Linked DNA regions of Daphnia pulex. The protein of the gene in region 4 purifies or fractionates together with the protein of the main gene of each other region. This does not show direct contact. Links are inferred from orthologs where the notes say so. Each region holds a gene or a part of one and is shown on either strand. Other genes may lie near its edges.

What was found.
Region 1: the proteins of E3 ubiquitin-protein ligase AMFR-like (region 4) and derlin-2-like purify together in Homo sapiens (affinity purification with western blotting; 4 studies listed by BioGRID and IntAct, with this or other methods). This does not show direct contact. The link is inferred for Daphnia pulex from reciprocal best matches to the Homo sapiens genes AMFR and DERL2.
Region 2: the proteins of E3 ubiquitin-protein ligase AMFR-like (region 4) and ubiquitin-associated domain-containing protein 2-like purify together in Homo sapiens (affinity purification with western blotting; 4 studies listed by BioGRID and IntAct, with this or other methods). This does not show direct contact. The link is inferred for Daphnia pulex from reciprocal best matches to the Homo sapiens genes AMFR and UBAC2.
Region 3: the proteins of E3 ubiquitin-protein ligase AMFR-like (region 4) and E3 ubiquitin-protein ligase RNF185-like purify together in Homo sapiens (affinity purification with mass spectrometry; 3 studies listed by BioGRID and IntAct, with this or other methods). This does not show direct contact. The link is inferred for Daphnia pulex from reciprocal best matches to the Homo sapiens genes AMFR and RNF185.
Region 5: the proteins of E3 ubiquitin-protein ligase AMFR-like (region 4) and derlin-1-like purify together in Homo sapiens (affinity purification with western blotting; 4 studies listed by BioGRID, with this or other methods). This does not show direct contact. The link is inferred for Daphnia pulex from reciprocal best matches to the Homo sapiens genes AMFR and DERL1.

The regions. Positions count from the first base shown.
Region 1 is NC_060027.1:833,795-840,149, reverse strand, and holds derlin-2-like, read right to left. Parts: upstream 3,451-6,355; 5' UTR 3,306-3,450; intron 3,243-3,305; exon of another isoform or gene 3,214-3,242; 5' UTR 3,104-3,213; coding exon 3,011-3,103; intron 2,948-3,010; coding exon 2,882-2,947; intron 2,824-2,881; coding exon 2,656-2,823; intron 2,586-2,655; coding exon 2,463-2,585; intron 2,375-2,462; coding exon 2,211-2,374; intron 2,126-2,210; coding exon 1,978-2,125; 3' UTR 1,291-1,977; downstream 1-1,290. Other genes in the region: transmembrane protein 17B-like, read right to left, coding at 1-27, 98-201, 290-401; high-affinity choline transporter 1-like, read left to right, coding at 4,829-5,027, 5,116-5,226, 5,301-5,468, 5,538-5,686, 5,745-6,024, 6,087-6,181, 6,244-6,355.
Region 2 is NC_060027.1:3,138,550-3,145,214, forward strand, and holds ubiquitin-associated domain-containing protein 2-like, read left to right. Parts: upstream 1-2,885; 5' UTR 2,886-3,044; coding exon 3,045-3,084; intron 3,085-3,184; coding exon 3,185-3,315; intron 3,316-3,395; coding exon 3,396-3,478; intron 3,479-3,566; coding exon 3,567-3,716; intron 3,717-3,803; coding exon 3,804-3,972; intron 3,973-4,051; coding exon 4,052-4,279; intron 4,280-4,380; coding exon 4,381-4,498; intron 4,499-4,595; coding exon 4,596-4,744; 3' UTR 4,745-5,044; downstream 5,045-6,665. Other genes in the region: inositol 1,4,5-trisphosphate receptor-like, read right to left, coding at 1-67, 137-557. UniProt on the Homo sapiens protein: Restricts trafficking of FAF2 from the endoplasmic reticulum to lipid droplets.
Region 3 is NC_060017.1:4,029,054-4,034,837, forward strand, and holds E3 ubiquitin-protein ligase RNF185-like, read right to left. Parts: upstream 2,310-5,784; 5' UTR 2,185-2,309; exon of another isoform or gene 2,148-2,184; intron 2,072-2,147; 5' UTR 2,060-2,071; coding exon 1,890-2,059; intron 1,818-1,889; coding exon 1,634-1,817; intron 1,466-1,633; coding exon 1,354-1,465; intron 1,297-1,353; coding exon 1,187-1,296; 3' UTR 987-1,186; downstream 1-986. Other genes in the region: anaphase-promoting complex subunit 7-like, read left to right, coding at 1-16, 79-128, 193-338, 426-546, 609-683; small G protein signaling modulator 1-like, read left to right, coding at 3,021-3,045, 3,172-3,215, 4,068-4,143, 4,420-4,582, 4,723-4,929, 4,991-5,058, 5,264-5,415, 5,709-5,784. UniProt on the Homo sapiens protein: E3 ubiquitin-protein ligase that regulates selective mitochondrial autophagy by mediating 'Lys-63'-linked polyubiquitination of BNIP1.
Region 4 is NC_060017.1:3,096,572-3,103,114, forward strand, and holds E3 ubiquitin-protein ligase AMFR-like, read right to left. Parts: upstream 4,323-6,543; 5' UTR 4,050-4,322; coding exon 3,780-4,049; intron 3,705-3,779; coding exon 3,447-3,704; intron 3,371-3,446; coding exon 3,124-3,370; intron 3,053-3,123; coding exon 2,979-3,052; intron 2,910-2,978; coding exon 2,766-2,909; intron 2,672-2,765; coding exon 2,548-2,671; intron 2,493-2,547; coding exon 2,275-2,492; intron 2,208-2,274; coding exon 1,869-2,207; 3' UTR 1,841-1,868; downstream 1-1,840. Other genes in the region: tRNA pseudouridine(38/39) synthase-like, read left to right, coding at 51-70, 145-387, 462-754, 829-978, 1,036-1,169, 1,243-1,322. UniProt on the Homo sapiens protein: E3 ubiquitin-protein ligase that mediates the polyubiquitination of lysine and cysteine residues on target proteins, such as CD3D, CYP3A4, CFTR, INSIG1, SOAT2/ACAT2 and APOB for proteasomal degradation.
Region 5 is NC_060018.1:4,692,709-4,698,241, reverse strand, and holds derlin-1-like, read left to right. Parts: upstream 1-2,119; 5' UTR 2,120-2,235; coding exon 2,236-2,388; intron 2,389-2,453; coding exon 2,454-2,657; intron 2,658-2,742; coding exon 2,743-2,891; intron 2,892-2,948; coding exon 2,949-3,059; intron 3,060-3,118; coding exon 3,119-3,266; 3' UTR 3,267-3,407; downstream 3,408-5,533. Other genes in the region: dnaJ homolog dnj-5-like, read left to right, coding at 1-43, 137-168, 235-560, 620-963, 1,024-1,155, 1,243-1,347; MPN domain-containing protein-like, read right to left, coding at 3,511-3,777, 3,847-4,331, 4,395-4,564, 4,641-4,864, 4,937-5,083, 5,163-5,312, 5,382-5,533. UniProt on the Homo sapiens protein: Functional component of endoplasmic reticulum-associated degradation (ERAD) for misfolded lumenal proteins. Forms homotetramers which encircle a large channel traversing the endoplasmic reticulum (ER) membrane.

The DNA.
Region 1 (6,355 bases), on a different chromosome or scaffold from region 4:
ATACGAGAACCAGCCAAAACATTGGTGCTGCCAAATGTAGCAAGAGATGATGAGTGAAATGTAAGACAATGACTTTTTCTTCGTATTATGTAAATACCTTTGCCACAAATGATGCCAGGATGATCGCCAGCCACACTGGGTAGTAGACCAAGTTGAAGTATAGTGACATTTGCAGTACCAAACTTGATTGGACATCATAAACTTTGCTCCATAAAACAATCAAACGTTTAGCATAAAGTACGAGACGCAATAGATAGAACTTGAATGATTTGAGAAGAATTGAAGTTACCTATGTCACTTTGACCCGATACGAATGAGAAATCTTGAGGTATATCCGACAGACCTGGAAATATTCTATCGCTGAAAGAATCCACAACATTTTGAACTGATTGTCTTCCCATTATTTCATCGCTTTCGACGATGGCTTTTGGCTATGAACGAAATGACAGCCGATTGTTTTGGGCATTTCAAACTGGGCGCCATGGCAACGACTCTAGCAGAACAACTCAGCTGTTTTCATTCGTGACTTTCTCCCGTCACAGTATTACATGTGCTGTGTGGTACACGTACAAACTTGTTTTGTGAATAAAATACTTGGCGATTATATTAGAGCAAGTAAGCTGTGAAAAAACTTGTAGGATCGATGGCTGGAAAATTATTTTTCATCTTTCTTGTCCAGGTTTCACAATCCAAACATGGGAAACTGGCAACTGGAAGCAGCCAAAATGGGGATGTACATGATTTTCCCAGTTGGTTGTTTCTATTACTTTAACCAGGCAGAGTATTTTGAAGATTGGATGATCAATCTGAGGAGAGAAATGTACCCTGCCGAAAGCAGGGTGAACAAAAAGATGTTTGAGGACACCATTCGCCAAATGAAGGAGAAAGAGGAACGGGAATATCTCAGACTACTTGAGGAGAAGGAAAGAAAAAATAATGCCTAAGTTGTCTGTTTCTTAATTAGATTTATGTATACAAGAGTCAATTTCAACTAAATTTATTTGATTTCTTTCGTCATCGTGCAGGTTTGATTTCTACTTATCTCTTCAATTCTAGACTATAACATTCCCAACTCCAGTATCTGCTTCCACTATCTGGTGGACTAAACATCTTTAAGCAGTTCAAAAGATCCTTGAAGAAACAAAACAAAATTGAGGACTGCGTGTGTGATCAGGGCAGTGAACTCGCTGTAGCATAAGCCTTTCCCAATGCAGCATCATCTCTGTAGCAGGTCAGGATTAGAAAATCAAATGACTCCAAACAAATAGCAAGTCTTGTTAGTTTGACAGATTTGCGACCTTCAAGTTGTGTATTTGGAAATCTTTGGCGCATTCACTACAAACAAGGCGTCGTAATGCAATCGAGTTTTTTGGACATTTATGCTTCAGATGGGAATGTATCATTTTCAAGGTTGACAACTGCTCCTTCCTATTTGTTGGCTTGAAACAAAATCGCTGTGCGCTCGGTGCAAACTTGGACGTTCAAAGAACCTTTTCACTAGAATTCGCAATCGGTTATCTCAGATTGACTTATGGTCGGTCCGCCTCCCCTTCATCTCTGAGCTAGCGAAAAAGGGAATAGTCTTGTTTATTCACATCAATAGAATATTAATTCATTATCTAGTGCGCTCCGATTTTGATTGTGTGTTCCCAAAATGTTCGAGTTGGATGGGCGAAGAACTGCACTATGGACACTACGAGTACGGTTGATTGCGTGTAAACTTGACACGGTTAAAAGATGGCCATAAAAGGAGAAAGGGGAAAGCGCTGGATATTTGTAAACGTTGCAACAAAGCAGTATGTCAATGCTAGTCGGTCATTGGTAAGCGAAAGAAAACCGGGCCACTGTGTAGAAGGAATAATGAGGGCGAACATCGACAACTGTATATTAAACAAATTTCCATGTATTTTCTTTTGCCATTTAGTAATTTTTCAAAAAGACGATTGTGTTTGTTTCTCTTTTTTTTCTTTCTTTTCCTCACTGATTTTCGTTTTCTCTCGGCTGGTCGGCGACTGCGTCTGCCACTCCCGGAGCACCAGCACCGCCCCAATCGAAACCCCCAGGACGCTCGTCAGGAGCCGGATTGTAAAGAGGGTCTTCAGTGTGCGTGTCGAACAAAAGTTTCCTAGGGGGGGAAAAGAAAAGAAACCGTGAACCCCTTGACCGATCTTTGATGTTTTTCTTTTCGAGAATGCCAAATTGTTGCATACAGTAAACGAGGCGTGGCCAAGAGTCTTCTGCCTCCAGGCTGATTAGGAAACACATCTTCCAGGAAGAAATACAAGTGACCGATGGCGATCCCGAGAATGTCCACCAATACGCTATTGCCTAAAAGAACTGAAAAAGCCACGAGAACCCAAGGCAAATATGGGGCCTATAAAAATGTCAGGATAGAGAAAAAAATTATCGGTTAATTTTCGCACAGGGTGTTTTGAATTTTGCAGTTGCTTTGTCCTATTTACTCGAAAAGGTAGAAGGCCGAAGAAATTCATCCTAACGTAAGGATTTCTCCGAGCCCAAATATAGACGAACATCGTGGTGAGCGAATGTCCAAGGAACAATAAATTTACAAACCAAGCACATATCTAAAAACATGAGAAAAGCAAATAGTTAAAAAAACTTGAAACAGGAATTCATGCAAATTTTCATAATTACCACTGTTGTGATGCAGCCAAATATGAACATGTAAACAAAATCAGCTGTTCTACCTCTGAATGAACCCTCCTCCAACATTCTACAATAGCGATAGGTAAAAATCATGTTGAACAGAAAATTGAAGCTGAATGTCCCAAAAAAGAAGAATGGAGTCAGTAGCCTCCATATCTGCAAATACAAGATTACATGATTTGGCTACCATACAAAAGCAAACCAATCCTATTACCTCAAACTTTTGAGTGATGAGCAAAGGATTGAAATACAGTTGAAAAGGTGACACCACATCCAGTTGCTGAAAAGGAAATGTTTTGCAGTCGATTACTGAGTCCCTTTCAAAGTTTCGAGTGTTACTTACCACTGCAATTGAAGTGAGCAAGCAAACAGTGGTGTATGCCCGAGTTACTGGAGGCATCAACATATACTCTTGGCGTAATGTGTGGTAAGCCATGGTGCTTTCTTGTAATTGATTTCATCAACAGTCAACTAAGATGATGTTTTATCACTTAAATTGTATACTGTTATTGTATACAAAGGACTATGACCAGCTCAAACACGAACCTCAAATAAGAAAAACAATTTATGAATACCTAGAAATACAATCAAGAAACGATTTATCCAAAAATGTAAGGATTTCGCGAAACACTACCAACCATCGTTTTTCCCAAGAGTCAAATTGGTTTGTTTATTTTTTCTTTTAACAAACCCCCCTTGGTCGACGTGGACAATTTGTAGAGGCTACAGCAGAAACGGAAATGTCAAAAAAAGGGAATTCCAAAGATCAATTTTTGGTTGCTATTGCAACGGTGTAAATGGCGCCTCTTTTGATGTAGCAGACAACTTTTTGATTATTATTCCATCCAAGATTCGAGTGATTTGAACCGTTGGAACCTCAGTTTATTTTGACTAAATTGAATTTGTTGACGTAACCCCTAGTTTTTATTTTTCATTTCGGGTCTTGGCGATAAATCATCCATCTTCTACTTTATTTATTATTGGGAGGGAGATGATGAAACTGGAAGTAGGTGCATTCAGTGCAGTCTTGCAGATAAAACAAAAACACATGGTCGAGTGTCGTAGTTCGTATATTTGGTTTGAAAAATGGTTGGCTACAATTTCCACGGTTATTGACTTTTGTGAAACTCTAAATTCTTCTTAATGTGAAAGGATATATGCAACTTGAGTAACAGTTCATGCTGGGATAGGTGATTGAGCAACCATCTTCACATCACAAAACAAGTATTTTACTCTTACATAATTATTCGATGAGTGTGTTTTCTTTTTACTATAGCCTGGTACATGTTGACCGACCACAATTCATGTATCAATTTCTAGGAACAGATTAGGTAATAAAGAATACAAAGAAAGGAATTGGCTCTCTCATAAGATAGAAAATTACATAGCAGTAGCTTTCATTATTTTATCTGTAAATTCTACTACAGCTAGTAAGTTGTGTAATGATTTGAGATGCTGAAAGGCTTTTTTGTTTCTGGCAGAGCCATTAATGTATACTGGAACAAGGCCAGCAAGATGCATACCTTCTGTAATTCTATTTTTGGGATACCCTCATTTCTCCCTCTAACTCTTCCAAAGGCCACTTTTATTGAGTCTCTAGTACACTTCCCGTTATACCACGTCGTCTCTCCCCCAATGCAAAAATTCACTACACAACTGTTGCGTTTTGCAGTAAAATCTTGAATTGTTTTTACTTTTATAGGAGCACGAAATCTAGACGAGAGAGGTACGCCAATCAACGGTCGTTGCTACCAAAAACTCTAGTGCAAGAAATTGAGTAAAGGAAACTGGGCAGACATTACTCTCTTGCCTCATCATCGCCGTGACTACTAGAAGACAATCTAGTGTCTCGTTTGACGACCAAAAGATCACGTGACAGATGTGTATCATTTTCAACCATATCGTCGCGACGCTGAACATCCGCCGCACGTGCGCAGTCATATAGAGTGAGGAACATCGGCTGCAGTCGCACCTACGCCTGGCTCTCCAATCGGTTTTTGCTGTCTGACTAGACTGGCCGAGTGATAAGTTATAGCGACGCCGTCAAACGTAAGATATCGTCGTCGTAGCCTTTTGTTATTATCCCTATATTTCGGTTTTACCTTTTCAGTTGACCTTGTGACAATTTATCACTTTGGCTTGTCCAGTTTTTTGTTTACAGATGAACGTGAATATCGGTGGCGTCATCTCTGTGGCTTTCTTCTACTGTTTGATCCTGGCCGTTGGAATTTGGGTAGGATGGAAGGAAAAGAGGAAATTTAAACAGCTACAGCGGATGGAAAGCGGTGCTAACCTGTCGGAGAACATAATGCTGGCCGGACGTGATATGGGATTGTTCGTCGGAGTCCTGACGATGACGGGTAACGATGAGTGTTGTCCCGATTCAGTATACAAGAGGGGTAGATTTGGTTTCCAACAAGCAGGTTTAAACAACAACAACTACGACAGCGACGTGGGTAGCAGGAGGTTACATCAACGGCACCTGTGAAAGCGCCTTCACTGGTGGCTTTCTAAAATGCTCTACAATGGCGATCGGATATTCCATGAGCCTCTTACTTGGTGTGTGTGTGTTTGCCTCATTAGTGTGTCTATAGTAAATCATGTTTCATCATTTTTATTCTTTGGATAAAAAGGTGGAATGTTTTTCGCTAAACCCATGCGAATGGCCCACGGAGGTCGAGGATATGTTACCATGCTCGATCCCTTCCAGGAAAAATACGGCTCACGTATTGGTGGGCTATTGTTTTTGCCGGCCCTGTGCGGGGAGATATTCTGGTCCGCTGCTATCCTGTCGGCCCTTGGTGACGCATTAGAAAAACTTTTTTAAATGTTGGCTGTCAAAATGTTTTAATTTTAGCATTATGCAATAGGATCCATTTTCACCGTCATGCTGGGACTGGACAATACTCTGTCGATAATCATAAGTGCTGCTGTGGCTGTTACTTACACCTTGATTGGAGGCCTTTACAGCGTGGCCTATACTGACGTCATTCAACTGGGATGTGTTCTCTTTGGCCTGGTATTTCCATTTTTCAAATCCAACATTCAGTTGACTGAATTTCTCGTTGCAATCATAGGTATTCTGCATTCCGTTTGTCTGGACTCATCCGGCCGTTGACCACGAGGCTATGAGCGAGGTTGATTGGTTAGGTACAATTCCGCTGTCCTCTGTCGGTAGCTACGTCGACATTTATCTGCTCATCATCCTTGGCGGAATTCCTTGGCAAGTTTATTTTCAGCGGGTTTTGGCGTGTCGATCTCCTCGACAGGCCCAGTACCTGTCTTACATTGCTGCTCTTGGATGCCTTACCCTGGCCGTCCCACCTGCCGTTTTAGGTTCCGTTGCCCGAGTCGTTGGTAAATTTACCCTCTTGTGATTTCTTCTTACACGGTGATTAAAACTAAGCAGTTTGACACAGACTGGACTAACGGAACGGAATATGGCAAAGAAATAACCACACCCGAAGAAATCAAATCGATACTACCGTTAATTCTTCAGTATTTAACACCAAAGGTATTTTATCATCATTTGATTTTTTTAATTGAAAATAATTATTTGGCAATACCTTTGGTTAGTGGGTGTCATTTATCGGTCTTGGTGCCGTCTCGGCTGCCATCATGTCATCAGCAGATTCGACTGTCTTGTCAACGAGCTCCATGTTTGTCCATAACATCTACAAGACTGTTT
Region 2 (6,665 bases), on a different chromosome or scaffold from region 4:
ATAACCGACGGTTTGGGTAACGTGATGGCCACAGCGGTGGATAGGAGCATGACGGCCCAGATGAGACCTGAATTAATAAACAAAAAAGATCGTTGAAAAGATGGAAATGGGAGTCACTGTTTAAAGGTGTGCAGACCTGAGAGGTGAGTGCGAGGATCAGGAGCCGGTCCGTCAGTGTCAAACGGGTAAAAGAAGGCGACAATCAAGTTGATAATGACGGCCAAATTGAAGAGGATTTGACTCCAGATGGACATGTGCGAGCTGACCCAAAAGAGAAACGGCTGTCCGCGCAATTTCTTCTGCCATTTCATCTCGTCAAACATGTCGTCGACTCCTTCGAAGAAGGCGGCCACTTTCGATCCCTGGTCGTCGCGCTCCGCCGTGTGGAAGACGCGCACTTTCGTGTCGTTGGTCAAATACTCGCACATTTCCGGAATGGGGAAGACAATCTGCTCCATCGTCCGGTCGTGACGGACAATTTCGATTTGCGCCGTGTGATTGGCGTAGTACTGCAGGGCCGCATCACCACTGACTCCGTCCACTGGCGGCGGTTTCATCAGGGCGGCCAATTCTTTGTTGTGCTGCGCCAACTGGTGGCACAAAATGTAAATGTTGTGGCCGACTTCTTTGGGACTAGTCGCCTCTTCTCCACCGACCAAACTTTTCTGATAGGCTTAGCAGGCAACGTCCACTAATTGGTGAGGATTCATGTTGTACAGGATCCTTTCCGCGTTCTCGCTGTCGCCACGACTCTCCATGACGGCCAGCAACAACTTGGAGGCGTTGTTTTTCAACTCCAAAACAAGATCCATTCTCCGTTTTCCTAAATAATTGATCAAATAATTATTAGAATCAAATGGAATGAAAGGAAATTGTTACCTAATGGATTGATGTCGGTAAGAAGAAGAGCCGTGATGATGTCCAGTCCATTCGACTCGTGAGTGGCGATGCAGTTTTGGTTTTCGTGACAAGGTCCTTGGCAATATTCCGTCAATGTTTCCAGGGTTTGGTTGATGAGGGTGACGTTGTGCTCATTAATGTAGAGGCCGAGCAGACCCAGTTCGCCCGTCGTCGATCCGCAAATGCAGTCGAGGAACATGAGTGTCTCTGACACTAAATTGTAACTGTTTTTGTTGGACTGGGCCCGCAAAAAGTTCTGCAGGTCTCGATTGTGATTCTCACACAGCAACTGCAGGAAGCGGAAGACGGGCAGCATTACCAGAACCTTGGCGGACAACTTGGACTCCATGTCCGAATCAGTTGCCGTAGTTAACTTTAAGGGCGAATTAAATTTATTTTTGTAAGAATTTTAATAAAATCACGAATTCAAGTTTTGTTGTACCGATTTGGGTTGTTGTTGTTGTCTCACCAAGTCCTCCAGCGTCGAGTTGACACTACTCAACGTCGTTGTAGTCGAATCATCCAGCCTGGAGCTGGATACTACAAGTGGAGGACAATCTTGGTTCCTCTACCCATGGGTTCTCTGTGATCAGGCTTGATGGTGAAAGAACCACCAGCTGAAGATTCCCAAACATACTGCTCATCATCATTGTGCTAGGAATGAACTGTCACCTTGTCGGCAACCAGGTAAGCAGAGTAGGAACCCACACCAAACTGACCAATCATGGAGATGTCAGCTCCGGCAGAGAGGGCTTCCACGAAAGCTTTAGTTCCAGACTTGGCAATAGTACCCAAGTTGTTAACCAAATCAGCCTTGATCATGCCGATACCACTAAAGAGAAACAGAACAGTCAAATTCGTGTTCAAATAGGAGGAACTAAATTTCTCAACTTACGTATCCATGAGAGTGAGTCATTCTTGTTGGGGACAATCTTGATTTTAAGATCCTTGCCGCTGTCCAACTTGCTTGGGTCAGTCAGGGATTCATAATGGATCTTGTCTAGGGCATCTGAGCAGTTGGAGATCAACTATAGAAGGTGTTGATAATCAAGCTCATAAGCTGAGCAATCTTGGCCTGGAATGTCAAAGTCTCAGCTTCATCTTCCATTTGAACTTCTCCAGGCATCTAAAAAGGGAAAGGAAAATATTTCAGTAAGAAATGTTTGTCAATTGTGGTAGATTGCACTCACAAATTGAAATTCTACATACTATCTATGGACTTGAGGCATACCAAAAAATGTGTAAATAACCAATTTGTTTGTCTAAACCAGTAGTAAAACTGGTAAAACTTACTTTGCATTTAAACGTAAACAAACAAACCCGACGCTTTTCTGTTCACGTTTGGTGGGGATCTACATGTATACAAGGCCGCCGGGCAGTCGTAAAAACTGCTACCAAATTCGCTTCTTGTTAGGCCTGCAAACTATAGCTTTTGGGTTGACACACATCAAGCCGGGAAAGTGAGCCCGTTCGACTTTGAATCGCTGTGTAAAAAATACAGCTATTAGTATATCTTCATGTGATCCATTTTGAAGACCTTTCTTTGTTTAATCTCTTTCATACAAAAATTTTCGTGATAAGAAACACATTTACGTAAATTTTGTATTAATGTTTAGTGTCGTTTTGAATTTGCAGTTTGAATTGCAGCGGTGGCGTTTCGAAACTGAGCCCCGTTTGACTTAGAATCGCTGTTTTAAAAAATGAATATAGTATATCTTCGTAAAATGTGATCCATTTTAAAGAGATTTCTTTGTTTAATCTAATGCCTACAAAAATTTGCGTGATTGGTGACACAATTACGTAAATTTAAGTGTCTAATTACTGCAATTGAATTTTGCAGTTTGAATTGCAGCGGTGGCGTGTCGAAACTGAGCCTCCTTCGACTGTGACTAGAATCCCTACGGGAAATTATTGGTTTTAATTTATACGTCCTTCGAATTTGGCGCGCTGGGAATTCGATATTCCGCGCATTGAATCCGCGCATCTTGTAACAGGTTCCCATCTCGTCACCTGACGACATTTTCACTTTGTGGTCGTTTCTTGTTTACAATGGGTTGTTATTGATAAACCCAATCTCGTGTAAATTATTTTTTTCCTGGATTTCCATTGCAGTATAACCGACGAATATACATTTCTCTTCCGCAATGGCCACGTACGTTTCACAGTACTCTACAACTGGATTCTGTATGTTGACATTTATATTAACGTTTCCAGTTTGAAAACCAAAGGTGGTCAGTAATAAAGCCATCGTCATTAAAAAAATGGAATGTTTTCTCTCCAACAGACCGAGCACCGGTATCAAAAGGGCTGATGGGAGCTTTGTTCATCACCTGCACAGCCATCCATGTCCCTCTACTGTCTCATCTACGGCTGTACCTCATATGTCAACTGCCAAACACTTTCACGTCTGGCGAGGTATTTCCATCATCTGCTCAAAAAGCCAGCATGTGTGAGGAAGGTGAAAGTTTTTTCATTACACAGTCTTTTGCTAACAGGTGTGGAGGTTGTTTACATCACAAACAGCCTTTCTCGAAACAAAAGATTTAATTTGTGCAGCATTGCTTATATACTACTTCAGGTAATTCCCCTTTTCTGCATATAATATAGAATGAGTGCCCAAACCAACCATCAACCATCTCTGCTTCGTTTTCTTAATTTTTATGTAGAGTGTTTGAAAGACGACTGGGCTCCAAGAAGTTTGCTTCCCACTTGCTTGCCACTAGTCTCATTTCGCTTGGGCTGCAAGTACCAATCATTTTGCTCATCAGATCCACAGGATGGGCCTCATATCACCATGGGCATCTCCCTCCTGGCCCGTAAGTCTCCTGCATCACTTTTCCTTTTTACAGACACATGCAAAAACATCAAATGTTAACCATTATTTTTCTCTCCCAAAAATAAAGATATGGATTGATCTTTCCACTCTTTGTACCGTACCTGTGCGATATCCCGAGAATGACTCGTACACATATCCTTGGGATACCCATCACAGGAAAAACACTGACATATTTAGTAGGTCTGCAAGTGTGCAGCACCTCTTTCCCGACGGCTGTCTCGGCATTTTGCAGCATTGTAAGTGAATTTCGTTTTCCTCTTGGTCGCTTTCATGACGCTCGAGGCGTGACAGACATATATACTTTTACTTGCACAGGCTGCTGGACTGTTGTACAGATGGAACGTGTTGAGGGTTCAAGACTGGCTGGCCATACCCGATTGGCTAGCCCGGATAACAGACATGACCTTTGGCCGATTATTATCCTCATCACCACCCGCCGACGGGCCGATGGGTGCCACGTTGGAAATTCAACGCCAGGAGCAAATGGAGAGGCTTGAACATCAAATGTTGCTCCAACGATCCCGGGACGGACCTCCTCGTCAGGCAAATGAATAATTGTTTTTTTGATATTCCTATATACCCACGCCGAGTCCTCAATTTCCTTACGTATAATACCTGAGACGTGATGTTTTTTGGCCCTATAGAACACGGGGCAAGGCTACGCCGAGCGTCTCGTCGGTCCCGAAATGCAGTGGGGCGAGCAAGGTGCCAACGGACACCCACGGCGCCGCCGAGATTTCCCCAATATCTTCAATCCGAACGGTAATCGAATTTTTTTCCGTTTTCAAGAATGTCTTACCTATTCAACGTCCGTGTTTTCGTTCGGAATTCTTTTTTATTTTATTTTGGGCGTTGACAGAAGTTCGACCGAACGACCCAACACCACCGTCCGAAGAGAACGTGACCTTCTTGACGAGTATGGGCTTTAGCCGTGACCGTGTCATGCGAGCCTTACAAACGACTGGAAACAACGTCGAAGCAGCCACCAATTTACTCTTACAGGAATAGTAAATCGGAGAAAAGAAATTAAAAAAACAACGTCAAAAAAATTAATTCATTATTATTATTTTTTTCAAGTAAACATGAATAATAATCTTACCCCAACCCCCCACCTCTTTATTACTTATTGTGTCGATGTAATTCTATTTTTTTCCGATTCCCAAATTGTGAGGATATCATTGTTTTCATTTTTATTATGATAAAAGAAGAACCATTTTGTCGTGATTCGTCAATTTTCTTTTTTGTTTTGTGAGTTTTTGAAAACTGTTTGTTTACAGGGTGGTAAAACACAGAAATATCAAAATGCAATTCTTCTCTTAAATTCATCTAATTTTTTCTCCTTTTTTTTCTTTTCTTTTTGTGTGTCTAGTCTTAAAAGAATGATTACGCGATATCAAACAATTTTCTTGTCTGGCATCGGGTGAGAAGTGGAACAGCGAAGAGTCAGCAGTTCAGTTCCGCCTCGACACCGATTCCAGCGACGAGGAAATGGTTTCAGATAAAGAAGAAGAAAAAGAAGAAAAAAGGAAGCCAGCATGAAAGAATGATGAGGAACAATTCGACACTTTCTTTCGACTCCCCTCTTCAATCACCGCAGTCTATAGTCTCTCTCTTATCTACATCGGGCGGTTGGGGAAAAAAAAATTGGCCGGCCACGGTGCGATCGTCGAAGAGACCCGACGTCTCAGTCTGTCGAGCGGCGGGACCAACGGCCACGGAATACACAAATGACGTCAACCGACCGAGACCGAGCCATCATCATCATCCCCGAAAAAAAGCTACGGCGAAGGCAATGAGGTAATCGCTGCTTTTTGTGTTGTCCCGTTAAACTATTGGCTGGGCCAGCCCGCCGTCTCAACGGGAGATCGTTTTTCACGCTCAACAAGTCAAGTCGACGACGACCGATCTTTCAAGATGCTGGCCGTCGACTCGCTTTCTTGTTGTAAGAAAAATGTATAGACAACCATTCTACTACTCATTTATTAGACCGGATAGACTTTTTTTTTGGACAAAACGGGCCGACCCGGAATGATTTCAATCCGGTACGCCGGATTTTCCGGTTATTATTCTAAGGCGTTCTATTCATTTCCTTTTTTTTTTATTCTAAAACAAAAAAAGAAAATCGATAAAAACCCCCCCAAAAAAAGAGGAGAAATAGAAAAAGAAGGCCATGCTTGGTTTAGTCATCAAGGATGACCAATAATTTTTTCGTTATTTAGGTTACCGGCACCCCGCAGTTCCGTGTATACCTAAATGACTTTGAAGAAAAAATATAAGAATTGAAATGAAAATAATAATAAAAGGATGTGACCACACAGCAAACACACACACGCACACAGCAATTGAGGAAGGGTTCTATTTAGACGTTTGAATATCATTTAACTCTCGTTATATGGTGTTTGTAATCTACTCTAAGCAATTTCGAAAAATTACCGCGTCGGTTTTTTTTATTAGCGGCTATTGTCACGTCCGACTGGCAGCAGCAGCCAAACATTAAACGATCAAATGGACTCGAATGTTTCTTTTCGTCTACAAGAGCGGTGAATCATCCCTTTTTTCAAGAAAGAAAGAAAATAAAAACCAACCAAAAAGAGAAAAGAGAGTGAAACTGGGTCAATTATAAATCGTGATATAACCAATGCAACTAAGAGAGGCGTCAAATACTCTAAGGAGAGACTGCGCGGAACGTGACCTTCTTGTGTTTCTCGTGCACGGGGGTTCATCTGCCAAAAAATGATCAAACTCCGTAGAAACCTGAAACATGTGTAATAATAATACGGGCGTCCAAAATGTTGAGATAGAGAGAAATTTTCGTTTTTTCATTCTAGATCGTGATATGCCTTCAACAACAAGAGGAGGAACAGAGTCTGTAGATAGACGCAGATGTATATACCTATACCCCGGTTGTCCTCAATTCCATCTGCTGCTG
Region 3 (5,784 bases), about 930 kb from region 4:
AGAGCTTTGAACATGGGTAAAATTAACATGAATAGTTTCCGGTGTAAAAAAAAAATTGTATAACGTTTTCCGTTGTAGATCCTCGATACACTCCAGCTGTATTCCTTTTAATCGACTCGTATGAGCAGGTGAGTAGCTGTACAATCCTACAGAACCACTCACTGAACTACCATTGACTACAATTATTTTCAGGCTGGCCAGAGATCAAAAGCCATTGAACTGCTTACTAAGCAAATAAATCAGCAACCTACAAACAGGTTACATCATATTTTGGGAGACCTATTCATAAAAAATGGAGATATGGATAAAGCATTGGAACAGTACAATTCTGCACTAATGTACGAGAATCTTTATCACTTGATTTTACTTTAACTTGCATATTCACATACTATGCATGTGTTTAATTTTTTTCTTTGTAATTTTAGGCTTGAACCGAATAACGTAAAAACCATTGAGGCCATCAATAGGCTTGAAAACGCATTGGTAGCTAAACTAGAAAATCATCTGGATTTGGAAGCTGATGATCTTCCTGATTCTGATGAAGAGGTAAATTCAATTTAAAGTGAAAAACAAAATATATGCATATGTTAAAAGCTATCGTTTTCAAGCCAACCATTGAAGAAGTCGACATCGATCCTATGGGTGGAATGTGGGCCGACATGAACTTGGATCAATTTCGGTAGTTTCATGATTTATTTGTACAATCACTCAAAAATACATTTTCTACAAAAAGTATAATCCTATTAGCGCTTCCCGCATTCTATTGATTTTATCATCGAAATGAAAAATTAATTAGCCTACCTTTTCCATATTTGGTTCTCTCAGGTGTCCTCTGAGGATTACTTCATGTATACTGTAATTATTTTCATTTTGTTATTCACTCCCCAAGAATATCTTGATGACCAGCTTGTACAACCAATTGATCAACTAATTTAATTAATATATAGTCTAGTCCTTTCTACACATTTTAAAAAATATGGTTTAAATGTTATTCACGAATGATCTATTTAATAAGGGAAAAATTTCATTTAACAAGACTTGCAATCTCTGAACATTTCACTTTTAATTTTCATATATATAAATCCACTGTCTAGGAAATTTTCGAGAAATACTTCATTAAAAGTATAAACCCCGGGAATCTTTAGAATAAAAAATTTACAACACAGAAGAACCAAGAACCACAAGTTTAAGCTACCAATAACCAAAAGATAAAAAGAATTGCAACCCACAAAAATAATTGTGACAAAAAGCGTTCGTCTTCCAAATTTGCAGGATTTGTTCCATGGGCTCCGTGACCTATGCAAGATTTTTACTATTATTAACCAGGTTGATTGATTTCTAATGTATCTTCACCTCTAATAACAGGATCACCAAAGTTGAAAGTGGAAGCAAATAATCCAAATGGAAAGGCTCCAATTCCAAAAGACATTTGAAATCCCCCATCAAATCCAAAATTCGAGAAAGCCTGAAAAAGTAAATTTGAAAAAGAAAATGATTCAGTAGTCTGAAATGTTTGGTCATGGTTAATAAAAAAATATTATTCTTATTTTACACTTGCGTAAGGGTACACAATATGTGTTACCAACTTCATCATTTACACAATGAAATGTAGTGAAATTATATAAATATTTACTCCTGTATTTTCTGGTTCTGTCCTTTGACCTTGAGGTCTAGGAGGCAATTTCTCTCTTGGATCTTCTTTTGAGCCCCCACGTCCATATAATGGTATAACTTTATCTCTGCTTATAGCAGCTTTGCAGACAGGGCATGACTGCCTGTTTGGTCTTGTTTCCAGCCACTGATGCAAGCACGGCCAGCTTCATGTAATAAAACAGGGAAATTAAACAACACAATCTCTGAAAACATGGAAACATTCCTTAGACTTGTACCAAAAAAGATGTCCACACATACTAATGACTGCATCTTTTGCCGTATCCAAACATATGTTGCATTCAAAGGCTCTTTCTTCTTCACCTCTACTTTCATTTCTTTTATTTTCTGTGTTGTCACCTCCTGCGCTATTTTTCGCAGTAGTGTCGGGTTCTTCATCTACAGCCATTCTAATTAAAACCTAAAAATACAAGCATTTCATTACATTCACTAGCAATATTATTTAACTTTTTTTTAACGTGTCTAATACCACTCACGAAAAACGTTGAATGGAAAATTAGAATACTAGTTTACAATTGGATAATTCAAAGTTAAAGCATCTAGTCTGTGAACTTTAACATTGGTTTAATTTCATTCCCAGCTGCTGCACTTTCAGTAGGCCACTGACTGACTATTCACTATTCAATACAAAACTCAACTACGTCATAAAGGTTGCCAATTTCACTTTTTTTTTTAGATTCGGCAATATTATCACATCTATTTACACGGAAATTTTTTCAACCATGTTTTCAACTAAAATTTTATTTCGATGAAGGTATACTGCAAAGTAAGTAAATGTTTACAAAAAAAAAGTTGACTATTAATTATTGAGTTTTTATTTGAAAAATAGGGCATTGATCATTGGATAACATTCAAATGGCTGGCGCAGTCAAGTTGTAAATAATCTCGTGGAGTTTGATTCTCCCACGATGACATCCAAATATAACGTTGACACAACACGATTTAAATATTTGTAGGCCATTTCCTGTTTCAATTATACACACTGAAAACATTTGACATGCGCAAGCGCATTGCTACCCGTAGGTGACGTAAAACGTTGAGCTCTGTGAATACGTTCATGCTGCGGTTTTGTGCTTCCCACAGGCTGTCGAACCAACCAGTTTTTTAGTTTGACGGACATCGACAACAAGTGCCCGAAGACGATAGTGTATTCATGTACAATCCGAACTTCTACTACTCCATTTTACCATAAACTTTTGACTTCCAACACACTGAACCCTTCGTAGATTGGCAATTGCCAATTGGCCGCCCCGCTATAAGTTGTCGTGTTGATCTGAAGGCGTAATAATTGTAACGTTATATGCACATTTGGAAGCCGATTGCTGTTTTTTTCTAGTTATCCACCTGTTATGAAGATGGCTCACTCATCAAATGGTAAGTTATGGAAGCTAGTCGGTCAGACATAACCTGATCACTATAGTAAAACATACTTTTCTAAATTTTAGAAGCAATATCATACATTTATTGCATGAGAATGACTAACAGAATTTTTTATTTCAGACAAGGAGTTCAAAGAACGTCTTATCAAAACTGTAAAAAAAGAGGTAAGGACTCGCATTTTATCTTTTGATTAATGCGAAAAACTAAAAATCTATACACCGGATTTTGGTTTTTTAAAACGTATACAAATACAGCCTTACTTACGTATCGATCGCTAACTGAACTATAGGTGTTACGCCCCATAAATTGAAAGCCATATTTTTAACGTCGCAACATCATTTTCTTCTTCATTGGATTAATTTCGTAGTAAGATGAGATAAATCATAAATAAACAGCTCGTCGTCGATTTATTGGGTAATAGGATAAGGTTCTGATATTTTGCTAAGACATCGTAAATACGGTATTTTATCACAGCGGCAACACTGTCAAACGAGTAGATGCAATCGATCCAACCCACATTTGTCTTTATACTTTATAGGGAATGATTTGCAGCATTTTCACTCCTGGGCTGCGAGCCTGTGATTATCTTTTTTTTAGTCGATAATTTTCTATTCGAAAAAATTTCAGCCAAAGTTGTAAGTTTTTTTTTTCTTTTCAAAAGACCGTGGCTAAGAAGGTTAGCGGTTTTTTCTTAAATACATATTGAAATTAATCAAGTAAGTACCGGCCGTCGACATCACGCTTGCGCACGGCGTTTTGAAATGGTCAATTGGTCATGGGGTCCGCACTCTGGTACTTTTTTCGTAGAAACTAGGGGGAAATAGCAACAGGAAAAACAAAAAAGGAAACGAAAAAACAATGTGACGAAAAAGGCAAGTTAAACCAAATGAAAAGGTAACTGGGTAAAAATTTATGAAAGTCCTTGACAAAAGCATCTCCGCCCCCTTTCTAGTTACCAACTGAATATTACTAGTTACTAGTCAATATATAAAATATTAACTGTGTTCTTCACATAGGTAAAACAAATCATGGAAGAGGCAGTGACACGCAAGTTTGTGCACCAAGACAGCAGCTCCGTCACATCCCTTTGTGGTAAGCTCATAAAATTTGATCAAAGTAATGCATGTGTAAAGAATGTTGCTACACATTTGATCGCTGATTCCATATTTTTGCGATTATCGCTTATTTATCCATTTTAAAAAATCATTCGACCGGAAGTCTCTTACTTTTATTAATTGTTATTTTGCTAAAATTTTCGATTAATCTGAATGAATTCAGTGTTGTGCAAATATTTGTTGGGACGTGATATTTTATACACTGGTATGATTTTTAGATCTAATATTTTACGTTACAAAATTTATTTGGCAGCCGCCGTAGAGGGGTGCTTGTCTCATGGACTTCGGCGGCGAGCGCTGGGGCTCTTTCGTTCATCGTCAACCACGGCTTTGATGCATAAAGTTGCCAAAATATACCCACCTGCTGCAGTAATTTCAAAGCTCATTACAGAAGCCGATTCTTCTGAAGGAGTAAAGTATGTGCAAATTTTGTTGTCACCTTTGAAGTTTAATTGTTCATAGATTATAGGCAGATTATAGGCTACTCGGATTTAAATTGAAGTCGTATCTTATGTACATTGTTGTTTGTTCTTGTTTTTTTTTTTTTTATGCACAGAAGATCGTCTTCAAGCGGAGATAGCATCACCAGAATGCTTTCGTGCGGAGGAACGGGAGGAAGCGGTATCAAGCCCATTTTGCAGAAAAGAAATTCGGGTTCGTGGTTATCTAAAGGAACCAGTACACAAAAATATCTTTGGATCCGATTAGCACTTTTTGAACGCATTTTGGCAGGGATTATTGAGCATATCGTTGAGAATCATTTGTAAGTGGTTTTTTATTTGATTCCATTTATTGATTATTAATTATAGTAAATTGAACCATAGGAAATATTATGAAAACGACGCCCTTGTCGCAGATCCTGAATACGGCTCCCTTTTAGGTCATCTTCTCGGTGAGTTGAAAAATGAACATTGTAGGTCTATATGTTTTCCATGTATATTTTTAAAAGGAGAACGAGTACGTTTCCCCAAAATGTTGCGAACAAATGCGATGTTTATCTTTCAATATTTAAAACAAAATACTTGGTCAAATCGTATTAATTGTGTATAGTTAGAAATTCCGTATCTTATTTTTTAAACAATCTATTCTCTTTATAGCTGGTCCATGTGCTCTTGAGTTTACCAAATTAAAAACCAAGGATCATTATTGGACGGACCCACCTGCCGACGAACTTGTTCAGAGGCATCGTATTTCTAGTTACGTATCGTCAGGCGTAACCTCTCCAGCTAATCGACGTCCAGGACTTCATGTAAGTTACATCGTATTCTCTATTATTTATTGTTAATGGTATCCAAATGTTAATTATGTCATTTGAGCAGCTAATTTAGTCTTTAGTTCTAGCCTCTACCGGTAGGGGCTTAAGTAACGCTCCAAGCGCTTTATTTACATCCCATTCTGAGTTCTGCTAGTAGCCCAGCACGTTTCATTCGAATGAATCATGATATACATTGCGAACCTTTTCTCATTTAAAAATGCTAAAACTGATCCAGATTATAAGATATTCATTACTACTGCATTCAAACTTTTTTTTTGTGATTGCAGTACCGAAAACTTTTACCTGGAGGTAGCAGCAGTGATGGCGAATCGATTAGTTCTATGGGGAGCAGAAATTGTTACG
Region 4 (6,543 bases):
CTTTAATTACACTTGTATTTGGTTTTAATTTGGCATTTTTTTCTGCTTAGGTGTTAGTTCTTTTGGACAGGTATTTGCTCTAAATTGTGTCTTTGATGTTTGGGCAGCCGAAGTTTGTAGCTTTAATTTTATTCCATTTTACAGGCTATCTCTATTGATTTGCGCTCCAATTTATCAGAAGGCAAAGGTGTTTTTATTCCAGATGGCCATCAAGCAAAAGTTGGAAACACCGTCGAAATCGACTATGTTGGTATACTTAATAAAGTTCTTCCTCCTGAAATCAGAATGATAGCTTGGGCGCCGATAAATCAATCTCTGAGTGCTCGTTTCGACTGTCGGCAAAGAACGTACCACTATTACTTTCCAAAGGCTAATCTCAATATAGAGGTAAAATTTAAAAAAAAACTTGCTGTATTTACTAATCGTTAATATACCTATTCTCTAAATCGTCATCCATGCAGAGAATGAGAGTCGCCTCACAATCGTTGATTGGGGAACACGACTTTCGCAACTTGTGTAAAATGGATGTGGGCAATGGAGTCATTAAATTTGATCGGCGAATAATGGACATTCAAATTGAAGCCATCGATGATGATAAGACGAATAGCTATTCAATGATACGATTGAAATTAATAGGACAAGCATTTCTCTGGCATCAAGTCAGGTGTATTGTTGCCATACTTTTTCTTATTGGACAAGGTAAAGAAGAAACGACAATTATCCAAGAATTACTTGACGTTGAACGCAATCCTAGGTAACAGTAACTCGACTCAAATTGTTTGTTTTTTTTTTAAATACTTTTTAAAATATTATTTTATCCAATCATAGGAAACCTCAGTATGGGATGGCGTCTGAAATTCCACTTAATTTGTTCACTTGTACTTATTCCGATGATGACTGTCAATGGATTTACGATGCGGAATCTCTTCGATATGTGATAAGCGGTTATCAGACGCTTTGGGCCGAAAATAGCATTAAGTAAGCAATAAAAGAAACGAATTTTTTGTGAAATCTTATTAATGTTTATTATTGTAGGGCGACGATGATTAAAGAAATGTTGAACAGCCTAGAAGGTTTGCTTGATGACAAAATTGAAAGTCAGTTAAAAGGTCTGGTATATGGAGTTGAACCGAAAACGTATCTGCCGTTAATGGAAAGGCAAAAATGCGGTATTGAATTCACTTGACGTGGTATTAAAATGCCTTAACTTATCACTTCTGTTTTAAAATATACATATTGCAGAAAGTTTGGAAGAGCGTATCCACGTATACGCCAAGCGCCAACGAATAGAAGTAATTGAAACTGACGCCAATTGCCCTTGATGCCTGATCATGTGTTAAAACTGCAATTGTGAATAAAACTTCTGTACCAAGGATCATGCTTTATTTAATTTGAATTTTTAGGGGTTTAAATTGTTGCCATAGCCATATTATACTCGCATAAAACGCTACTTTTGAAAGAAAATCACCTATTCTTGTTCAAGATATTAAGGGAAAGATTTATTAATCTCAGAAGAAAAAAAATGTCACACATTTCCGATTTCGTCCTCTACATGTTTGGTAATCAAATGTTACTATTGATTGCGCATTCACTTCGTCGGTAGTGAATCAGTAAAATCACGTTTGTAGGCCCTGTTTGACAGTGAACGTCTGTGTGATGGGACTAGCTTGCGGCATAGAGAGGGTTTTCTTCCACGCCCAGTCGAGCGAAGCGGTATTTCGTAATTATTAAAAAGGCACTATCTTTCTACTCATAATTTACCTTGCCAATATACAAACAGGTTTTTTGAATTATGAGATGCACTAATGCATAATTTACGCACTTTAGGATCAATAACAAATTAGAATCACACGTGTATAGCAAGAAAATCAACTTTCAATGATAGTGGAATTGTTTTCGAGTGCTTGTCTCTGAAGAAAGCGATTTCGAGCTTCCGCGATTAATTCATGCTTACGACATTGAAGAATGTGTTGTCTTTCTTGCGGATCATCAACAAAGAGCTTCTCTGGTTCCTGGGAAACATCAAATTGGTTTTCTTGCCTGGCGAATGTTGGCAACGTAGATAGACTAGGCTCTTGTTGAAAGCTGGGAAGTGTGGGCAGAAGACGACCCTCTAATATATTCTCAACTGTTAAGTCTACTGAGCGAGTTTGCCGTAGATCTTCAACGATAACAGAAAACGAATAATCGGGAAACAATTGAAGTACCTACAACGATAAACATTTAAATTGTTGAACAAGAATTAGTAGAATTTTATGATAGATTTCGTCACACCTGATCAGCTAAAGCTTCCAATTGAGAGTTTTCTGCAGCTGCTACTACCGGAGTATCAGTGTTTTGTTGAAACAGTCGACTCCAGCCCGTCCACGATATAAAACTTGCAGTTTCCCGGGGACGTGAAGACGAAGCAGTTTCTTTCGATCCATCTTCTAAAAGTTGGCGTCGACACGTAGGGCACGTAGGATCCTGTTCCAACCAGTGCAACAGACAACCTATACAAGTATAGATAGATGAAGGATTGCCTCATTAATTGTTATGAATCAATACCATGATGAAAATGATGACCACACGGCAACCGTCTGGCTACAGCTGCTGCTTCCCAGCAAATGGCACATTTGTTATCCTCCCATTCAGATTCGAGTTCGAAATGGAGTGTTTCCAAGGGACAGCACTATTATAACAGAATAAATTACTAAATGATTAAAACTAGAGACTTGGCAGAAGAAGGGGAGATTAAGATATTTTAGATCGACTCGAGTACAAACCAATTCCACCAATTTCAGCAACCGTTTGTAGTTCCCGTGTCGCCGGAGACGTCCACACAGCTGTTCGTAGAGCACTCGCAGTTGCATGAAAATGACCAAAGATGCCATAGAGAGCAGCATATTCGCTCGCAGAAGCATGTGAATCTAAACGAAAAGAGACAAAAAAGGGGTTACCGAAATTCAGTCGCATTGCAGAAAGCAATTTCGTCTCACATGATGTGCCAAATCCACAACGAGGCATGAAATCTCCACCGCCAATTCCACGTAGTACGACGAAGGACTCCACCCTATGATCCAACAATCGTCAGATGTTTGAGCACATCGAGAGTCTCTGTTGCGAATGCGCAACTCAAGTAACCTTGAGAGATCTGATGGATGGGCGGATGACAAGACTGCAGGTAGAGGATGTATCTAAAGATAACGTGGGTGGTACGTAAAGCCAAGAGAAGACATTCCGGGGCGACCAAGGCAAATGTAATCCATCCAGCGCGTTGTCCAACGGCGAGGCAAATCAAAAATAATAATCCCGATGCCACCAGAATCGATCCCAGCAGGGTAAGCAAGCGGATGTGTCGATTTCGAGGGGTACATGGAGTCATAGATAACTATAATTTCGCCAAACATAAGATAAATTACAATACCTGTTTGAGCTTTTAAAAAAGAAAGATAAAATCCAATTACATATTCAAATCTGTCTTGGCAAAGTTGAGCATGAATGTGTAGAAAGCCAATAACAGAAAACCAGGACCCCCATAATATAACACCTTCCATACTTTGAACATTTTTAATGCCAAATATAAAAATAAATTTGTAAAACACAAAATTCCAAAACTTGTCTTTGATGTGCTGTAGTTCAGAAACTCTTAGTTCCCCAAACACCTGCTTCTGCAGCCAATTTCCAAATAATACAAGGAGGCAGTAAGCCATGTTCACAACAATCTGTAAAGGATAGAAGATAAAAAAGGATTAAAGTGTTGGATATTGACTAATAATATAGGATGGCCATGTTCTAACCCAAATGCAGAGACTGTCATGGATAGAAAATGACACAATATCTTGAGCTCTGGAGCTGAGCCAGTAACGAGACAGGATGTTTGAAATAAATGCTTGCAAGGAGTTGGGAATCTCTTGGCTGCTATTCGTTTTAACAAATTGCATCCTCCATTCAGGGTTTTGTGTTTTTTCTGCAGCGTAGTGAAGAGACAAACCCAAAAGAGAAACACTGACTACCGCGTAAGCTTCCAAACTCGGGAGAGGTAGTCTCTCAAGTAGTAAGACAGGCATGTTGTTGTTGTTGACACAGAAAAATTGGGTTCACAAGACGACAAAACTACTAACAAATCTGGGGTGAAAATTGCATTTGAAAACATCAGCAGAAATAACTAGGATTAGCTAGCACAGCAATTCAAGGCAATTTCATCTTGATAACACTGCGTTATCTAACGACCATTTCGATAACAAGTGCCTTGTCAAATGATTCAATAATCCGAAAATGTGTCAAAACTCTGATAAGGCGGGTAAGGCTAAACAGCATCTAGTACACGTAAACACTGCAAACGGAATGAAAAAAAATTACTGACGTTTTGGGCGTCAACCTCAAAAAGTTCCAGCAAACTATTTTCTAGCAAGGTCAAAAATATGCAAAAATTACAAGGCAGATTTCGTCTCGCTATCCCCAGGGGAAAAAATGTATTCAATGTCAACTTTGCATACATGTTCTCAAATGTAGATGTAGACTGAATTGCGCTCTCGGAGACTCGGACAGTCAAGCTAATAAATATTCAATTATTCATTACGCATGTGATGCTGGGACTGGGCTGAATCTGTTTTTAGATCGACGAATACTGGTTTGTTATTAAAAATGAAAAAGATACGTCACAAGTCTGAGTAGATTTTATTGTTTTTACTCAGAAACAACTTCAATAAGATCCCTTAATAATTTTCTGAGATATATTCGCTAAATATTCCGCAACATTCTCCCGCACCAAAAATGCTCAGTTTTATGGCACTGCCCTAAGACACGCATAAGAGTACTCAATTACGCTAATCTAAATTGCACTCCCGAATCAACCTTGAAAAGAAAATGTATTCACTATTATTATTTCTGCTTTGATGGCAACGCGTGATGGAAGACAGAAAAAAGGGAGAAACATCAGAAATAAAACGTTGTCTAGCTGCATGTCTAGCCGATTTTATCGTCTTGTTGGGCGGTTATGAAAAAAGTAGCGTGTCATTTCGTACCAGATGGGGACCGGAAGAAGGTGTCCTTGCACACACACGGCACTGTTATAACGCCTGATTTGCGTCCTCAACATTCGTTACAATAGGGCGTCAGCTCTGCAAAGTAACTGAACCGTTAAATTCTGTAAATGTTCACATTCGAGACAATTTGAATCCACTACATACCAAAGTCTTATCGCGTACCTCCTGATGGTCACGACAGGTCAAGGTTTCCATTTGAAATTTGCGCCCTGTTTCGCTTTTATCCGATGTAGTGGTAATCCTTCAATATAAATAAATGAAGCAACAATAACTTTGCGAAAACAAGGGATGGCTAAGTAATTGAAGTGACTTTTGAAGTTCATTTCATTTTCTCTTTCTCTGCACTTTAAAGAGAATCTTTTTTTTTTTTTCATTTTGGCTCTATTCCAATTTCTTATACTGTAGCGTTTTACAACACGCATTTCACAAGCAGTTAACATTTATGTTTATCATGTTAGTGTTAAGTTGTTATTTGCGAGGTTATTTGGTTGAGCCAAATTTGGATTATTGGAATTCAACAAGATATGTTTGCGGAAAACGCCGCTATACAGCTCCCAGCATTAAATGGGTAATATAGCTTCAAAGCCGAATTCTGGCTATCATTCCAATTATTTTTCAGACGAATTAAGACCTATTCTTCGTAGACGACCTTCCAACCTGTCAAGTAAAGAAATATGGAATTCTTTTCTTTTGATTAAAATTCTATTTTATAAGTTGTATTTCTTAAAAGACTGTTTATTTATTATTCCATGAGCGAGAGCAGTCTAAATGTGTGCGTCCATTAAAAACGGGTTAGTTATTGGAGCAGGCCCGCGTCAGCAATTGTTCACGAGTCGGTTGCATGTGACTTTGAAGAAGCCATAAATTTCGTCGCGTTGGAGACGCGAAACAAGACCAAACGACAATCACGCTGGGGTTTTCCATATTAAAGAAACTTGTTCGTTTCCTTTAATTGGATGGATCACTCTTTCGTGTTATTATCAAACTTGTGCAAAACATTATCGTCGATTATTCTTCGTATTTAAGAAATTCCAATGCCCTTCGAAGGTAATTTTTTTAAATTATTATCCGGACTAATGATGATGACACGAGAAATAATTATCAAAATAAAGAAAATTCAACGAACTTCTTTTTTTTTTTCAAAAATAAAAGATGCATCTTTTTTAAAATACTGCAGCTTAGTCGAATACGTTGCGGCGTAGATGCCGACGCGAAGGCCAACACGTAAATATAGAATTCACCTTTAGGCCATTGAACAACCGATCTATTATTTTGAAATATTCCTATCCCTGGATGTTAAATTTCTTGATTCTTGGAAACGTTCACGTGATTCCAGTAAACGTGAACGCCAAAGGTCTGATCGCTTTTCAATTTACTGGCACTTTGTGATGGCAGCAGTGGGACGATCAGCGTCCGCTCGACTAACACCGCACGATCTCCACTTAAGAATGGCACTCAAATCGATGATGAACGGCTCGACGGATCAAAAAATAATACATCTTTGCAGGTTTAAAAA
Region 5 (5,533 bases), on a different chromosome or scaffold from region 4:
TCCCAGCACCAGTGCAACACTTGCGCGTGCCTATTTCCCTAAGGTGGGTTTCTATCAATAAGGATATTCCTCCTACATTTGGCATTGCCTTCATTCATAAAATTCACAAATTCTTCTTTTACTTTTAAAATTACAGCTTGCTCGTTTCTGTGGATGGTTCTTCTTGTGGTAATATCCGTATTTATTTATATCTTGTTTGAATTTGATGTTAATTGACACCTCTCTTTTCATCAGGTTGTACAACTTGTGCGCTGACGTTATTCAGATGAGTTGCAATTTGATTTGGGTGGGACTTCAGCAATGCCGCACGGTTTTGTGGGAGAAAAGTTTCTTGGTCACTGAATGGATATCATTTCAGACACGGACTTGCCGTCAATATGTTACAACTAATTGGTTGCCGTCCATTCGTGAATTTTTCCGATTTTTTCAACGCAAATCAGCTGACGAAGGAAGCAGCACATTAGGTGGTTTAAATGCCAATATCCCTTTACCTGCTACCGGAGAAGAAGCTATGCATCGTTTATTGGCTTGCAAAGGAAGAGATCCATACAGCATCCTGGGTAATTGGATGTAGACTTCACATTTAATTGACATTTTCGCTATAGATTTTATTTCTCAGGTGTTCGACGAGATTGCTCCGACGAAGAGATTCGACGTTACTACAAGCGACAAGCTGTTTTAGTTCACCCAGATAAAAATCGACAACGGGGAGCTGAAGAGGCCTTCAAAATCTTAGCGCATGCCTTTGAATTGGTTGGTCAGCCAGAGCGACGCAGCCACTACGACCAATTAGTACAAGAAGCAGACGAGATGGAATCTGCTTGGGCCGAGCTCAACGAGCTACTCTCACGGTTGCATGCCAAAATGGACGAGGCCGCAAACACGATTCGGTGCACCAATTGTGCCAAGCGTCACAGAAGAGTGAAAACTAATCGGCCTTGCTATGCTGCTCGATATTGTCAGGTACATGTAAAGTGCGAAAATAAAAAATTTCCTTTTTTCATTCATTTTGTTTTTTAATAGGATTGCAAAATTCATCATTCCGCCCGCGAAGGGGACCTATGGGCTGAATCACGATACATGGGCTTTCGTTCTAAATACTACGCTTGCATGGAAGGTGCCGTTTATGATATCACAGAATGGGCAAATTGTCAGGTATTTTACTTCGTTTGTTCTATGTCTTGATTGTTGATTAAATTAGTATTAGGTCTTGTCTAAATGGAATAAATTTTTTAAATTTAGGCTGGACATCTTCGTCATTTGCAATCTAATTCTCATCGCGTTCAGTACCGTATAGTTCCCGGCCAAGGGCAACCGAGCAGTGGAGGTGGCCGTAAATCAAGTTGATTCTAATAAACGCCTTATTGTCTTCAAAATTATGACATTGATCATTTTTGTTGTTGTTGATTTCTATTGCTAAAGTGTCCTATCGGGTGATTTGTAACTAATACCTTTGGTGCCTTTTTTTTTCAAACAATTTTGCTTTGTCTGGTATTTGGAAATTTTCTTTTGTCGTAGAATCTCGTAACGAGGTCCCCCCCCCCCTCCCCAATGATTTGTTCCTTCCTTCCCAGTTTAATACACATGGTAACTTATCTGTGTTGCCATCAGATTAAGCATGTGTTGAGAATTTGTACAGTTTAATAAGGAAAGTTTTTGTCGACAACCCGGTATCATACGATTCCTTTGCGTGGTAAAATAGTTATTCTTCTTTTTTTCCCTTTAAAATTAATATGATTAGTTTTTATTCGACTCGTTGCAGGATGCATTTCGAATCTGGAATCTGTCTTCTACCACACATTTGCTTTCCTGCCTTTAGAAACACAAATTATGAGGAAAAACAGTCATACTCATAACGCTAATCGTTTTAAGGATTTTCTTTATCGTTGGTAGTGTATTAACTGTTTCGGTTCAACTGCGCCGAGCACTAAGGTCTTGGCGAATTAATTTTATTGAATAGAAATCAATAGTCCTATCATCATTCTAATTATACTAACCTTTTTTTTTTATTTTTATTTTATTCTTTTCCATTGGTGATTCATAGATGGCATTGGAGGGGATGACTGTGCGATTTGATTTTGGGTTTTGGCCTTGTTTTGTATTTATCCTCTAATGACACGTAAGTGTTCGTCTGCTTCGATTTGATCTTGACTTGAATTCGATTGAGATACACATTGTTCTTTGATACATTTCCTTTCAGATAATTTGGAAAAGTGGCTTGAAACCTTTTTAAAGATGAGTGAGCTAAGCAGCTGGTTCAAAAATTTGCCTATTTTCACAAGGCATTGGTTCGGACTAACTATTGCGTTGTCACTAGTTGGCAGATTTGCCATTTTGAGTCCAAAATATCTTATCTTGGATTACCATTCTATATTTGAATCATTCCATGTAATATGTTGTAGTTGAATATTTTAGAAAACATCATTCTTATTCTTAAATTGATTGTTCAATAGATATGGAGACCAGCAACAGCATTATTTTATTATCCAATAACACCAAAAACAGGATTTCACTTTCTCATCAACTTGTATTTCTTGTATAACTATTCTCTTCAACTTGAAACTGGACTGTTCAATGGGCGACAAGCTGACTACTTTTTCATGTTGCTATTCAACTGGATTTGCTGTGTCATAATTGGACTCCTAGCTGATTTTCCTGTAAGTATTTGGTTTCCTGATTCCGACTACATGTTGCTTCCTAAAAGACCTCATAATAACTACAATAACAATAATTTTTTTCTAGTATTTGATGGATCCAATGGTACTGAGTGTACTGTATGTTTGGTGTCAGCTAAATAAGGACACAATTGTCAATTTCTGGTTTGGAACACAGTTCAAGGCAATGTATCTTCCTTGGGTCTTGCTTGGATTTAACTTGATCATTGCTGGAGGGTAAAGAAACTGCAAATAATGTAATTTGTGATATACTAAATTCTTTTACTACAATAGTGGAGTCATGGAACTTGTTGGAATTGTCGTGGGACATTTATACTTTTTCCTCACGATGCAGTATCCTCAAGAATTTGGTGGTCCTTTGCTCTTAACTACTCCGCAATTCCTGTAACACGCCATTTTATTTATTTAACTTTAGCAAATATGTTAAATACTTCGTCTTTCAGATACAAATATTTTCCGAATCAACGAAGCGGAGTACAAGGATTCGGCGCGGCACCTCAACCTAGGGCTGAGTTTAGAGCAGCTGCACAGGATGCAGGTCCTCGACGCTATGACTGGGGACGTGGAAATGTTTTGGGTGGCCAAAACTAGCCTCACAATGGCCAAAATTAAACCCCGATTCTAATGTTTTGATGTGTTTATGTTAAAGAAACGATTATCGTCCCTCCTCCCATCAATTTCTGGAAAATGTATCCCTTTAATCTTAAGAGAAATTTAAATTTACTAAATTTGTCTCACTCTTTTATTCATATGTATTATTTGTACGCATGATTCCCAGATGGCTGGAATTTTGCAAAGAAAAACCTCGATTCATAGATTTCGCGATTTTCTTGTCTCACATACACGAGATTTCTTTTAGGTTGTTTTGGGGTTCAGGGTCTATAGGTTCTGCAGGAGATTTTACGTCGGTGAGATCTGTTTTCGTTTTCACTTTGGTCATGTTGCTGAGTGTGTCAACCAAATCGATAATCACATCATCTTCGCTTTGTAAGCTGGACTTCAAAGTCGCTTTCAACTTATCCAGAATCGTGAGTTCATCAGACCAGTTTTCGTCAAAATTTGTGCGGTCAGGAGAATCACGGTAAAATTTAAGGCAAGCTTCCTAATTTAGCAAAATGTTAAATAAAGATTGGTTGTAATGTCATTAGAGAACTAGTAAAGTTTGCCTTACCAATTTAGGGACTACGTCATCTTTGACGGTGGCGTCATACACAACGTTGTATTGCATGGCCATAGGACGTCCAAGTTCAAGTGGTCGAGATTCGGTAGGAGGAGACACCCAGTAGCACGTCAAGTGAGTGGTCGACGTTGATTGGCTAGGTTCCGCGTGATGGAACGGTGCTGAATAAAAAAGTAAAGTGAACAGGTAATGATAACATATAATAGTAAGGAATATTTCATTACATGAAATCATCGCTACGCAAGGTCGGTAACCTTGATCACCAGTTCCTTTGAGTTTTAATTGATACTCGAGTTGTGAATCAATATCTTGCACAGTTGGAGTGGGCGGTGATAAAGGGTGGCTATGATACCATCCTACCAAGCAAAGTCCAGCACTCTCTATTGATTGAGCGATTTTGATTTCGGTAGCTTGGCCTCGTTTATCATCAGTCGTAACTCGATTTAAACAAGGGAACGCTTGTTTAATCGTGAGTGCTAAAATGAATCACACAAATTATTGTGGGTATGTGTTTTCTAAACATATCAGTTAGCACTCACTGTTCGTGTTAATGTCCCATTGGCCTGCTAAATATCCAACAACTTCTGAACGCGTTAGAGAGCAATGAACGTCCATTACAACAAGAGCAGTCGTGTTTAACGATATTAGAAAAGGTTGAAGTTTCCCTATATTTGCGAACGATATGGCTTCAACTAACAAATTTGGATCCCTGGTAACGAAACGACAATAAGAAATAGAAACTAGAAACAAACTCCAAACTTAAAATAATTGTTTTGTCTACTTACTCGATACTTGTCCTGTTTCCTAGCGTTTCGTGCTTTATAATTTGTCGATCACCGACAGTTTGTTTCATACTCATTTGAATTACTGGTTCAGGTTCCAGCAGTACAGGCTCATTAGTGGACAAATTACAATCATCAGGAGTCGAGTTGTCGCTAACCTGTTCTAAACGTCGTTTACGCATCCATTGGTTTTTATATACATCCAAAGGCCTGCCACAATATCGTACCTACATCATTTAAAAATCTGAACTAAATTTACTGAACTTGATAACGAGAATTTAAACATATTTTATGCTTACTGATGACCAACCACAACCATATTTCTGTTCGGGATTAACAATTTTTTTGCAGCGCAAGGCCCACGCCGAGGGTGAACTAAAGACTTCTTGAACTTCAGCAGAAAAAATTTTTCCATCTGCCAGTAAGTCCCCATTAAATTTTTGTCCCTAAATAAATTCACATAGGGAATAGAAGTTTTAAACTTGGAAGATAAGAAATCTAAAAGAAATATCGTATAATGTTTACCATGTACTCTAGTGACATAGCACCTTCTTTTGGTTGAAGGATGTTATCTTCAAGTAACATTTGCAATGTGACTCCTCTACCAGTAAATCCACCAGCAGTTTTGGACTTTTTCTCATTCAGTTCTTCATCTTCATTGCCATCCATGTTATCCTGTAATTTTTGTCATAAAATTGTTATTCATTGGAATTTTAATAGCACAAAGTATTATTAATTAATTACCTCTCCTTCCATTTCAGGATCTAATGTTGCATTGTGGGTTTCAGACATGTTACATTGCTCATTTGTGTGTTCAACACTAACTGATGTGATCTTTTGTTGTTCTTGAGGATCTGCTTGATCACTAATACTTGAGTCTTCTGATGCTTCAATCA